Linked DNA regions of Oryctolagus cuniculus. The protein of the gene in region 1 interacts with the protein of each later gene in a pairwise test. Links are inferred from orthologs where the notes say so. Each region holds a gene or a part of one and is shown in the gene's direction. Other genes may lie near its edges. The genes, in order: CAMK2B, MRPL11 and ACOT7.

Region 1 (3,738 bases):
GGCCTCCCAGGACCCCAGCGTCACTAATAGAGCAGCCTCTGTCCCTCTGACCTGGACTCCAAACCTCCCAGAACCTCCAATCCAGGTGCCCTGGCCTCAGCCCCCGGTCCTGGAGGAGTGTGGGAGCGAGGGGCGGGCAGCACGGGGCAGGAGCACCCTCGGGCCATCCTGTCGTCCCTGGCTCTAGTGCCCCAGCGACGTGCCCGCCAGGCAGTCCCGGCAGAGGGGACGGGACGGCGTGCGTGTGGCCCCAGGGAGCCTGAGCAGGAGGCTCTGGCGGCACCCCCCCGCCAGGGGTGGAGCAGTGAGTCCTGTCAGGGCAGCACAGGAGCCAGGGCCCCCACACGGGCCTCAGTGTCCTCTGCTCAGAGCCTGGGGGCCTCCAGTGGTGAGAGGAGGCTGGGCTCCCACTGAGAGCCGTCCTGGAGCCAGCATGGGTGCAGGCACTGTGTGGGTGCAGCACAGAACACAGGCTGTGGGTGCAGCACAGGTGTGTGTGTGGGGGGCGCGATACAGACACAGGCTGTGGGTGCAGGGTGTAGGCCCTGTTCAGGTGTGGGTTCAGGATGTGCATGTGGGCAGCACACGGGTCCAGGTGTGCGTGCAGGTGCAGGGTGCGAGTGGGAGTGCAGAATGTGGCCGTGCGGATGCAGTGTGTGGGCATGATGTGGGTGCAGAGTGTGGGTGCAGGGCATAGGTGCGTGTCCAGGTTCATGGTGCGGCCGCATGTATTGCGACAGACACATGTGCGGGTGAAAGGCACCGCTGTAAGTGTGGGTGCATGTGCAGGGCCCCGAGTGGGGCACAGAAGCCGGTGCAATGTGGGTGCAGGAGCGGCGTGCGTGCTAGCGTGCTGTATCAGGGTACAGGCACCGCGCGGGTGCGGCGCGGTGCGGGTGCAGGACACCGGTTTGAATGCAGGGCGCGGGCCCGGTGCAGGTGCAGGGCGCGGGTGTGGCGCGGCGCGAGTGCAGGAGCGGCGTGTGCGGGGCGCGGATGCGGCGCGTGCTGGGGGCAGCAGGCGGGGCGGGCGCGGCGGCGGCGGCGGCGGTGACAGCGCTCCCGCGCCTCCCCGCGTAGGTGTGCGGCGCGCTCCTGGCGGGGACCGAGCGAGCAGATCTCGCGTGCGCCCGCCGCGCGCGCAGCCCAGCCCGGCCCCCGCCCGGCGCCGCGAGCCGAGGTGTCTCCGCGCCCGCGCCCGTGTCGCCGCCGTGCCCGCGAGCGGGAGCCGGAGTCGCCGCCGCCGAGCGCAGCCGAGCGCACGCCGTTCCCGTCCGCCGCCGCCATGGCCACCACGGTGACCTGCACTCGCTTCACCGACGAGTATCAGCTCTACGAGGATATTGGCAAGTAAGAGCCGAGGCGCGCGCGCTGGCCGGGCCCCCGAGGGCCGGGCCCCTGGGGCGCTGGAGCCTCGGCGCCGCCGGCCCCGGGCGCACTGCGGCCCGGCGCGCCCCCGGCTCCTCCGGGCCCCGGCCGGAGCGTGCGGCCCCGCGCTGCCCGACCCCGACCCCGGGCCCGGCGCCGCACAGCGCGGCGCCCGGGGGCCCGGGGCTCTGGACTCGCGCGGCGGGGGCGGCAGCAGGTGTCCCCCGAGCGCGGGGCAGACGTGACGCATTTGGCGGCGGGGAGGTCACCGAGGAGGGGCGCGCGGGGGCGGGCGCGGGGCCTGGTGCGCCGAGTCCGGCCGGCTGCGGCCCCGGGGGTCGCCCCCGCGCGGCGCGCTGTCCCCACCCCCACCGGGCGGCGGCGGCGGGGGCGGCGGGACCCGCTCCGCGCCTGCTCCTGCGCGGCCCCCTCCGTGCGGGTTGCCGGCGTGGGAGCAGCCTTGCGTGGGCCCCCGGCGATCCAGGGAGGATCTTTCCCTAGATTCTTCTGGAAACAGTTATTTGGAGGAGGGGGCGAGGTCAGGGAGTCCGGGTCAGGTCATGAAGGGTGGGGATGAAGGGGTGAGGCAGGGCTCCCGCGCGGGCGGCTCCTGGGGCTGGGTTTGGGAGCGTTGTTTTCGGGCTCCCGGAGGCAGCGAGGGGCCGTGATGGCCAGGCGCAGGTGGGGCCTCCTGGGAACAGGTGCCCCAGCCCCTGGACACACCGTGCGCTCCGCCAGGCGAGCCATGTCCTGCTTTGGGGTCTTCAGGTGCCGCTCTGCCCCTCAGGTCAAAGGCTAGGGAGCCCCACAGGTCCCCCTCGGCGCACCAAGGTGGCTGTGCCTGGCACCCCTTGGGCTGGCTTCAGAACTCCGGATCGCGCCGGGCCCATCCTTCCCCTCCCCCCCCCGCCCTCCCCCAGCTCTCCTGCGGGCGGGGGCGCTGGCGAGATTTCCTCTTACACTTGCAGCGGCAGATCCTTTTTTCCCCTTTACTAAAAAAGCGCCTGGTGGAAGCTTGTGGTGGGCGAGGGACGCTGATGGCTGATAATTGTGGAGCAGCCGCGGGAGGGGTGCGCTGCGCGCCTTCCTTCTTCTCTCTGCACGTGGGGACACCCCAGGTCAAGCAGGCCTGGGGGCGGCCTAGGGTGGAAGTGAGGGGATAGGGGCAGCTCAGGACCCCTTGGCGGAGGCCTGTTGGCTGTGGAGGGCCGCCCTGGAAGGAACAACCTTCCGGGGCAGGCTGGGCCGGAGGCAGAGAGGAAGAGGGTGCTGGGTGGGCTGGGGGTCCTCGTGGGAGCCCTGGGTCTGACCCAGTGGTGCTCAGACCCCCCCGCTGCCCTGTGTCCCCGGCGCTGTCTCTATGCTGTGGGTCAGGCAGGTGGCGGGCTGTCCCGGGAAGAGGGCAGTGGTCACTTCCAGGGACCTTCGTGGCCTCTCCTCCACTGTGTCCGGAATCACACAGGCCCTCACCCTGGGCATCTGCCAGGGCAGCCCCTGGCGAGTCGGGGGCCCCAGCCCAGGCTCATTCCATGTCTCCTGTCTTCCCTGTGGCATGGCCACCTTCCCTGGCCGCAGCTCGGGCTGGCTGGGTCCCCCCGCCCCCAGCCTCCCGTCCCAACAGCAACTGGTTATCGGCAGCTGCCGCCACCCTGAGAGTAGAGGTGTCTGGGGCTGACTCTCCTGGAGGGGCAGGTGAGGGCTGGAATCGCTCACTGCTTCCCAGGTGGGCAGGAGGAGCGGCTGGAAGGGAGTGGGTGCGATGTGAGGGGCCTGCAGCGACTTGGGACAAGAGGGGGCGTCGCAGCCAGCATCGGTCAGCTCAGCCCAGCTGAGCCTGTCTGGCCCCAGGGGAATGCCTGGGGTCAGGCAGCATGTGGGGAGGGGGCCGGGGCCGTGCAGGCGAGATCCGCAGCGGCCATGCTGGCTAGTTGTTGACAGGGCTGGCCGGGGCACAGTTGGTGCTGCCTCCCGGCCCAGGTGGACTGGTCCAAGTTTATTTAAAGCTGCAGCCCCTGGCACCCAGTCAGGCGCGCCGAGCTGCCCGCTGTCCCTGCTGGTGGATGGGCTGGGCCACGGGCCTGAGGCTGCTCGAAGGCTTCTCCTTCTCCTGCCCTGTCCTTTCTCCGCCTCTGCTCCTGGGTGTGCCCTGGGGGCCGTGCCACGGGTCCTGCCCACCTTGGGGCTATGGGTGTGCCCTTCAGTGTCCAGCCCTGTGGGGAGCCGAAGCTGTCTGGAGCCCAGGGACCCCAGGGGCAGGCGCACAGTGAAGCAGGGACGTCCTGGGCGGTGTGGACCCTGCAGTGCGGGTCTCGCTTGCTTTACATCTTGTAGATTTTTCAAAATTCAGAAAATACCAGAACTCGCAAAAGA
Region 2 (3,738 bases), on another chromosome or scaffold:
TTTCAAGTCCCCGCCCTTTATTCTGTGCTCCGGGTTCACCGTCCGTGAAACGGGTTCTGTTCACGAAGATAGGCGAGGATCTGCTGGACACGTCTTCCAGCCAACCTTCTAAGTATCGCTTCCCGGCCACGCCACCACCACCTGGCCCAGCCCTCTGCCTGCCTCCTCCAAGCTAGGGTGACCTTTTCAAAATGCAAATATGATGCAAATGCATGCCCAGCACCCTTCGAGGGCTTCCTCCCCCACCCAGGGCTGCAAGACCTGGCCCCCAACCCCTGGTCCCGCCCCCTCGCCTCCACTGCCTCTGAACCTCACACGCGACCTTGAGGCATTTCCAGGGGTCCCTCCCGGTAATCAGAATCATCCCAGCTGTGCCTCCACTGACCCCAGGTGGAGTTTGCCAGCCGCCGGCTCGCCCTGGGCTCCCTGATTGTGCCGGTCAGCTACCTGATGGCTTCACCCAGGAAGGATTTGTTTCTTTATTAGTAAATAAACTTGTGAATGAAGGTCAGGCACACAGAGATGGATCAGACCCAGCCTGCTCCCCCCGGCCACCATGAATTAATTAATTTATGAGAGAGGCACTTTCTTTTTAAGATTCATTTTACTTATTGAAAGGCAGAGTCACAGAGAGAGAGAGGTCTTCCATCTGCTGGTTAGCTCCCCAAGCGGCCGCAATGGCCGGAGCTGGGTCTCCCACGTGGGTGCAGGGCCCAAGTCCATAGCAGAGAGCTGGACCGGAAGTGGAGCAGCCGGGACTCGAACCGGCCCTCATACGGGATGCCGGCACTGCAGGCGGCGGCTTTACCGGCTACGCCGCAGCCCCGACCCCAACTAGATGAGAAACAAGGATTTAGTACGGACGCCCGCTCTGAGCAACAGGTGCGGTTATCACGATGTCCAGCAGACGGCGCTCCAGCGCACCAGGTCGCCTGACGTGCACGAGGGGCCTTAAAACTACCGCACCCACAATGCCTTGCGGCACCGAGGGCCCGCCGTCGTGCTTAGCTGTCCGAGGCAGTGCCTGTATGCGCTCCTGAAAGAATGCGCGTAGCGAAGCCGCTCGGGTCCTTCCCCCTCTCTGCAGCAGGCCAGTGGGGAGGTTCTTTTTTTTCCCTTTCTCTTACTCTCCCGGCCTTACCCGTTAAGACTGAAACAGGCTGATGCTTGTTGGCCTCCCCTGCCCTAGCCCCTCGTGAGGCCCCTTGACCTCTGGCCCAAGATGGCGGCGCCCAGGGCGTAGCTCTCGCTGAGGTGAACCACAGCCAGACGGCCGGCGGCATGTCGAAACTAAGCCGGGTCTCTCGAAGCCTCAGGAAGCCCGAGGCCGGCGGCGTGATCCGGACCATCGTGCGGGCCGGCCAGGCCATGTCCGGGCCCCCCCTGGGCCCTATCTTGGGTCAGGTGCGCTCCTGGCCGGAGCCCGGCGCGGGGCGCCGGAGGGCCGGGATGGTCGCGGAGCCGCGTGCACGCTTCCAGCCCGCGTGTTGGCCTCCGCAGCAGGCCGTGGGGGGGACACACAAAGAAGTCTGTGGCGCAGAGAGCGGGAGTCGAGTGTGGGTGGAGGAGAGGGGCCGCGTGGGCGCGGCCGGCCCCGCTGACCGCCGTGTTGCTCCCGCAGCGAGGCGTCTCCATCAACCAGTTCTGCAAGGAGTTCAACGAGAAGACCAAGGACATCAAAGAAGGCATCCCCCTGCCCACGAAGATCCTGGTGAAGCCCGACAGGACGTTTGAAATCAAGATCGGCCAGCCCACCGTGTCCTACTTCCTGAAGGCGGCCGCGGGCATCGAGAAGGGAGCGCGGCGGCCAGGTGAGGGCCGGGGCGGGCGCCCGGGAGGAGCCGGCGGCCAGCGCCTGAGCGCGCGTGCCCCTTGCTCCCAGGGCAGGAGGTGGCGGGCCTGGTGACCCTGAAGCACGTGTATGAGATCGCGCTGGTGAAAGCCAAGGACGACGCCTTCGCCCTGCTGGACGTCCCGCTGTCCTCCGTCGTCCGCTCCATCATCGGCTCTGCGCGGTCACTGGGCATCCGCGTGGTCAAAGAGTGAGTGCGGAGGGGGCCTCTCGGGTTCTGGGGGGGGGGGGGGGCGGTGCACCTGTTGCGTGTTAGGTGTCGTCCTGGATGTGGGACGCGGCTTAGGCGGGGGCAGCGCTGCTTGGCCCACGTCCGTGTGGCGGCCGCGCGGACCCACGGGTGCGTGTTGGGGCCGGGGTCACCAGAGCAGCCAGGAGGGTTGCTGGCTGGGCGTGGAGTGTCCGTGAGGGGAGGGGCTACATCTGAGCAGAAGCCGGGAAGAGACCGAGGGCTGGGGCAGACGGTCCAAGGACGGAGATCTCCGTGGAGTCGGGAAGGGCGGGGGGCCTGGGTGCAGAGCCCCCGGGCAGGGTGGGAGGGTGTGGACCCGAGGCCGACAGGAGGGAGGCCTGCTCCTCGGCTTCAGGTGAGCTCAGGGAGTTGGGGGTGTCGGGCCCAGGCGGGGGCGGGCCGGGGAGTAGGAGCCCTGCGTGTCCTCTGCCGCCGAGTCAGGCCCCACCCGCGGCTCACGGTCGCTTCCCGGAAGCGCGGGCGCAGCCTGGGGCAGAGGGGGACCGGGCCTTGCTCACGTCTTAGCTTTTGCTGGGACGCAGGGATGAGTAAGCCCGGTCCTCTGGGGGAGACACAGGCACAGCCCCCCCGGCTTCCTGGGGCACAGGGCGAGGCCGGCTAAACTGGACTGGAGCCCGGCTGGGTAGCGATTTAGTGAGAGGATAAAAGGCCGCGGGCGGCTTTTCTGGCCGAGGGAGTGCGGAAGCTGGGGGCCGAGCAGCTGGACTCTGACACGGGGACACGGGCCCCGAGAACCGGGTGGCAGCTGCTCACCACCCGTCCACCCGTCTGTCTGCCTGTCCACCTTCTGTCCGTCCATCTGCCTGCCTGTCCATTCATCCGTCTGCCTGTCTGTCTCTGTCCGTCCGTCTGCCTGCCTGCCCATCCGTCTGTCCATCTGTCTGCCTGCCTGCCTGTCCATCCGTCTCCGTCCGTCCGTCTGCCTGTCTGTGCGTCTCTATCTGTCCATCTGTCTGCCTGCCTGCCCGTCTATCTGTCCATCCGTCCGTCTGCCTGTCTGTGCGTCTCTGTCTATCCGTCCACCCGTCTGTCTGCCTGCCTGCCCATCTATCTGTCTGTCTGTCCGTCTGTGCGTTTCTGTCTGCCTGCCTGCCTGTCCGTCCGTCTCTGTCCGTCCGTCTGCCTGCCTGCCCGTCTATCTGTCCGTCCGTCCGTCTGCCTGTCTGTGCGTCTCTGTCTATCTGTCTGTCTGTCCGTCTGTCCATCTCTCCATCCGTCTGTCCGTCCGTCTGTCTCTCTCCACCTGCAGCCTCAGTGCCGAGGAGCTGGCGGCCTTCCAGAAGGAGCGAGCCGCGTTCCTGGCTGCCCAGAAGGAGGCGGATTTGGCAGCCCAGGCAGAGGCCGCCAAGAAGTGACCCGGCCTCGCACACCCACAGTTCTGAGGCAAACGGCTGGGGCGGGGCCTGTGCCGAGGGGGAGGAAGGGCGACCGCGCCACCCTCATTGTGACTCTCCTGACTGGATTATGTATTTCTACGCTCATGGCTGCGTCAGGCCTGAATAAATGTCTCTGTCACCATTCTCAGCCTCTGTCTTGGGACCCAGGGAGGCAGCCCTGGGGTGGGCAGGGGTCTTCACGCGGCTCCTGGGACACAAACCGAGGCTCAGCCGGCAGAGTGGTTTGGCCCACGCCT
Region 3 (3,738 bases), on another chromosome or scaffold:
TTCTACTGCTCCCCCAGGCCAGAGCATGGAGCTGGATCGGAAGTGGAGCAGCCAGGAATCGAACCGGCGCCCATGTGGGATGCCGGCACTGCAGGCAGCGGCTTTACCCGCTACACCCTAGTGCCGGCCCCAGGAAGCACTTCTGATGTCCAGCTGGACGAGCACACCTATGCAAACAGGGCAGGGCCTGGACAATTCCTTGTTCTATTGCATCCACCTGGGAAGGATTAAAGAAACAGAATGACGGGTGGGGAAGAGAACCAGGAGGAGGAAGAGTTATTAACCTGCTACCTCCTTACAGTCATAACCTCATAAACTCCAGCAGAGGTCAGGAGGGCTGCGCTTAGCCATCGCCTCCCCTCGGGGATCTCGAAACTTCCTTCCTGAACCCCCAAAGTGGGTCCCCTCTTCCCTTGCATTTCAGGGTCCACGTTGGGAAGATGTGGTGTTTAACTAGGCTTCGTGGCTCTTCATGCTTGGGTAAACTTATTTCATGTGGGAAAACTACGTGTACTGGGCCAGCGCTGTGGCGCAGCTGGTTAAGCCACAGCCTGTGGTGCTGGCACGGGTTCGAGTCCCGGCTGCTCCACTTCCGATCCGGCTCCCTGCTAACGTGCTTGAGAAAGCAGCAGATGCCGCGCTCGTGGGAGACTCGGGTGGCGCTCCAGGCCCCTGGCTTTGGCCTGGCCCAGCCCCTGCGGCCACTTGGCGAGTGAACCAGCGCAGGGGAGGTTTCTGTGCCTCTAACTCTTTCACGTGAATAAAAATGTATCTTATAAAACAAACAAAAAAGCTCTCCGGACCCCCGCAGGTGGAGCTGACCACCCTTCCCGGGGGGTTTTTTGGGTGGATTCTGTGACCCCAGACTCGTTCTGGACTCACTTCGGGGACACCGCGTGCATCCGGGCGGCCCCCACTCCCTGCGGCCGTGGGCCCCGGAGCCGGACGCCTGGACAGCGGCGGGGCGGCGCGGGCACGGCCTATCCGCCCGCGCTGGCCCATGTCGTGTTCCCCACAGCGGCCACCACCCCCGGGGCCGGCACTCGGCCTCTCACGGCCCACTCGAGAGCGCGCCGCCGTGCAGGGCGGCAGCGCCCGGCGGGCGGCTCCAGGCCCGAACGCCGGGCCGGGCCTTCCGCGTTGACCTCATCCGGCCCGCGGAGCACGGGGCGCAGACAGCGAATCGCCGGCGCGACCCGCAGGGAACGCCCCGCCGACTCTGCCCGCCGCGGAGGCGAGCGACGCGTCCGCCGAGCTGCGCGACTCGGGCCGCGCCCGCCGGGCGCTCGCAGGCTGCAGGGCCGTCAGCCGCCGCCGCCGCCCGCGGGCCGACCCCGCCCAACTGCCGTCGAACCTTCTGGAAGCCGCGCCCCGGGGCAGCCCCCTCCGCCGACAGAACCGGACGCCGACGCGGGCCCACCGCGGCCGTGGCGGCCAGGGGGGCGGGGAAAGGGGCGGGGCCCGAGCGGGGGCGGGGCCCGCACGGGGAGGCCGCGTTCGATTCGCCCCCCGCGCGCAGGCCCCGCCTTGCCGGCGCCATGGCTCCGCCTCCGCCCTCCCCCTCCATGGCGCCGCCCGGGCTCATTCATTCCGCGCCGGGCCTTCCAGACACCTGCGCGCTCCTCCCGCCGCCTGCAGCCGCCGCCGCCGCCGCCGCCAGCATGTCGGGCCCCGCCGCCGACACGCCGTCCGCCATTCAGATATGCCGGTAAGAGAGGGGCCCACCCGTGGGGTCTGCGACCCCCGCCCACCGAGGCCGCCGGCATCCCCGCCCCGGCGCCGGGGGATCGCCCCTCGAGTCCCCGCGCCCTCGTCTCGGGGCCCGGGCCGCCGGCGGCGGGGATGCGCCGGCGATGCTGAGGTAGACGCGGCCCGGGGGGCTCCTCCCACCACCTCTCGGCGCATCTCAAGGGCGGCGGCCGCGCTGCCGCCAGCACCGGCCGTTTGGGGGGAGGAAGAGGGCCGGGGCCAGGACCGGCGAGGGGGTCGGTGCACCCGACATCTCAGACCCCGGCCCGGGATGCCCTCTGGGCCCCCGGAGCTTCGGGATCGCCCCCTGGGCTGTAGTGCGGAAGCGAGGGTGGAGGACCGGCGCCGGAGCCCCCCGGAGGCCGCTCGCCGTGGGTTTAGGGAGGGGGCTGCGCCCGCCGGCCCCACAGCCCCCCGCGGCGGGTTCGGAGAGGGCAGGTGTGGAGGCCCAGAACCGATCAGGGCTCTTGGCCTGGAGCGGCTTACCGCTAAGGAAAGGGAGCTGCGCGGGCCCGAAGCATCTCACACAATAGGAGGCAGAGTCGTCTCGGCGACCCCCACCACACCCGCGTGTCGGGATAGAGATGCGGGCCCCAGCGGCCGCGGGGGGTGGGAGCTTGCTGGTCTCCAGGCAGGAGGACGGGAGGGCAGCCTCAAGGTGACCGGCAGGCCGCCGGGCGCAGAGGCATCAGTGCGGGCGGACAAGGGCGAGGCCAGCTCTGTCCTGCTGGGGGGACCAAGCCGGGTTCCCCACGCTGGGCATCGCGCTGACCTGGGGTCCCAGCCGTGTCCACCCTGGGCCAGTTACTTTCCCGAAGGAGCTGGTTCTCTGGGAGCCTGGAGCTCCTGCCCCCAGCTCCCCGTTCTCTGGCTTGGCCGAGACCCCTTTGTTGGTCTTAAGGTCAATCTTGGCTTTCCTAGCGAGGGGAAGCGTGCATGGGGGAGCCCTGTGCCCCTGGCTGTGTGCTGTCCTCTCAGGTGGTGGTGGTGGGGGGAGGCAGGGATAAAGATAATGAAAGTGACTGATGTTGGCAGACAGACAGGCCCGCAGCCAGATCCCGGAACCGGGCTGCCTTGTTTGCAAGGAGCCTGAGCTCATCTCCATCTCGTTGGGTTCCCTGCAAGGCTGCAGGGTCGGGACCTCCGTGCTGGCGCTGTGTGGAGCCAGCGGTTGAGGATCCCGGGGGCTGAGTAGTTCTGGGAGGGCCACGCAGTGTTCGTCCCACCGTTCTCCCAAATGAAGAGTTTGTTTGCCTGCGGAAGGCTGGGCGTGTTTACTTCTTCAGGGTGGGGAGTAGCCTGGGTGTATATATATATTGTCTTTTTCCAACTAACAGGAAAACAGATTCTTGTAAGGCTTTAGATGCTCCCGTAAGCCTGCATGTGCACTCTCTCGGGCGCTGCACCTGCCGGGCCGCCTCGCGTGTCTGGTTCACAGCTGCACCGTCTCTGAAGTGGGTGCTTGGCCGTGAGGTCTTGTGAGCAGGGTGCCCGGCTGAAGTGGTCCTCGGGCGCAGGGCACGCCTGCCCCGGGAGAGGGTGCTGGGCAGAGGGCTGTGGTCAGGTGGGCTTGACCCACAGAAGCCCCAGGACACTGAAGAGTGGACGCGCTGGAGTGGGGAGCCTTTAAGGATACCCGAGCTGATGCCCTGCATTGAAAGCGGAGCCTCCTGGCCCGACACATCCTACCAGGCCCATGAATTTAACAAGACTCCACGGGACACTGCCAAGGAGCAAAGCGCTGGGAGGGAAAGCTGACCCCGGGGAACCCTGAGACCCTGCCCTGAGGGGGTCACGGTTCAGCAGGGCGAGGATGCCCACGCCCCTGTCATTCTAGACGGTCAGGGCGACGCCGTGCTGCAGGCAGGATGCTCCAGGATCAGAGGCCTTAAAGGCAGGCGAGGGCAGCGGTTACTGGCAACGCCTCTGTCCCTCGCTCGCCGCGTGACCGCTCTGTGCTCCCATTTGCTCACGGGTGGTTGTGAGCGC

What was found.
Region 2: the proteins of CAMK2B (region 1) and MRPL11 interact in binary tests that used the Homo sapiens proteins (3 or more experiments, as listed by UniProt). The two-hybrid records come from large-scale screens. The link is inferred for Oryctolagus cuniculus from reciprocal best matches to the Homo sapiens genes CAMK2B and MRPL11.
Region 3: the proteins of CAMK2B (region 1) and ACOT7 interact in binary tests that used the Homo sapiens proteins (3 or more experiments, as listed by UniProt). The two-hybrid records come from large-scale screens. The link is inferred for Oryctolagus cuniculus from reciprocal best matches to the Homo sapiens genes CAMK2B and ACOT7.

Annotation. Positions count from the first base shown.
Region 1 is NC_091447.1:51,754,980-51,758,717, reverse strand, and holds the start of CAMK2B (calcium/calmodulin-dependent protein kinase type II subunit beta), read left to right. Parts: upstream 1-1,127; 5' UTR 1,128-1,285; coding exon 1,286-1,350; intron 1,351-3,738. UniProt on the Homo sapiens protein: Calcium/calmodulin-dependent protein kinase that functions autonomously after Ca(2+)/calmodulin-binding and autophosphorylation, and is involved in dendritic spine and synapse formation, neuronal plasticity and regulation of sarcoplasmic reticulum Ca(2+) transport in skeletal muscle.
Region 2 is NC_091432.1:5,444,193-5,447,930, forward strand, and holds MRPL11 (large ribosomal subunit protein uL11m), read left to right. Parts: upstream 1-1,189; 5' UTR 1,190-1,281; coding exon 1,282-1,404; intron 1,405-1,621; coding exon 1,622-1,811; intron 1,812-1,882; coding exon 1,883-2,042; intron 2,043-3,354; coding exon 3,355-3,460; 3' UTR 3,461-3,623; downstream 3,624-3,738.
Region 3 is NC_091438.1:161,106,077-161,109,814, forward strand, and holds the start of ACOT7 (cytosolic acyl coenzyme A thioester hydrolase), read left to right. Parts: upstream 1-1,216; 5' UTR 1,217-1,538; coding exon 1,539-1,708; intron 1,709-3,738. UniProt on the Homo sapiens protein: Catalyzes the hydrolysis of acyl-CoAs into free fatty acids and coenzyme A (CoASH), regulating their respective intracellular levels.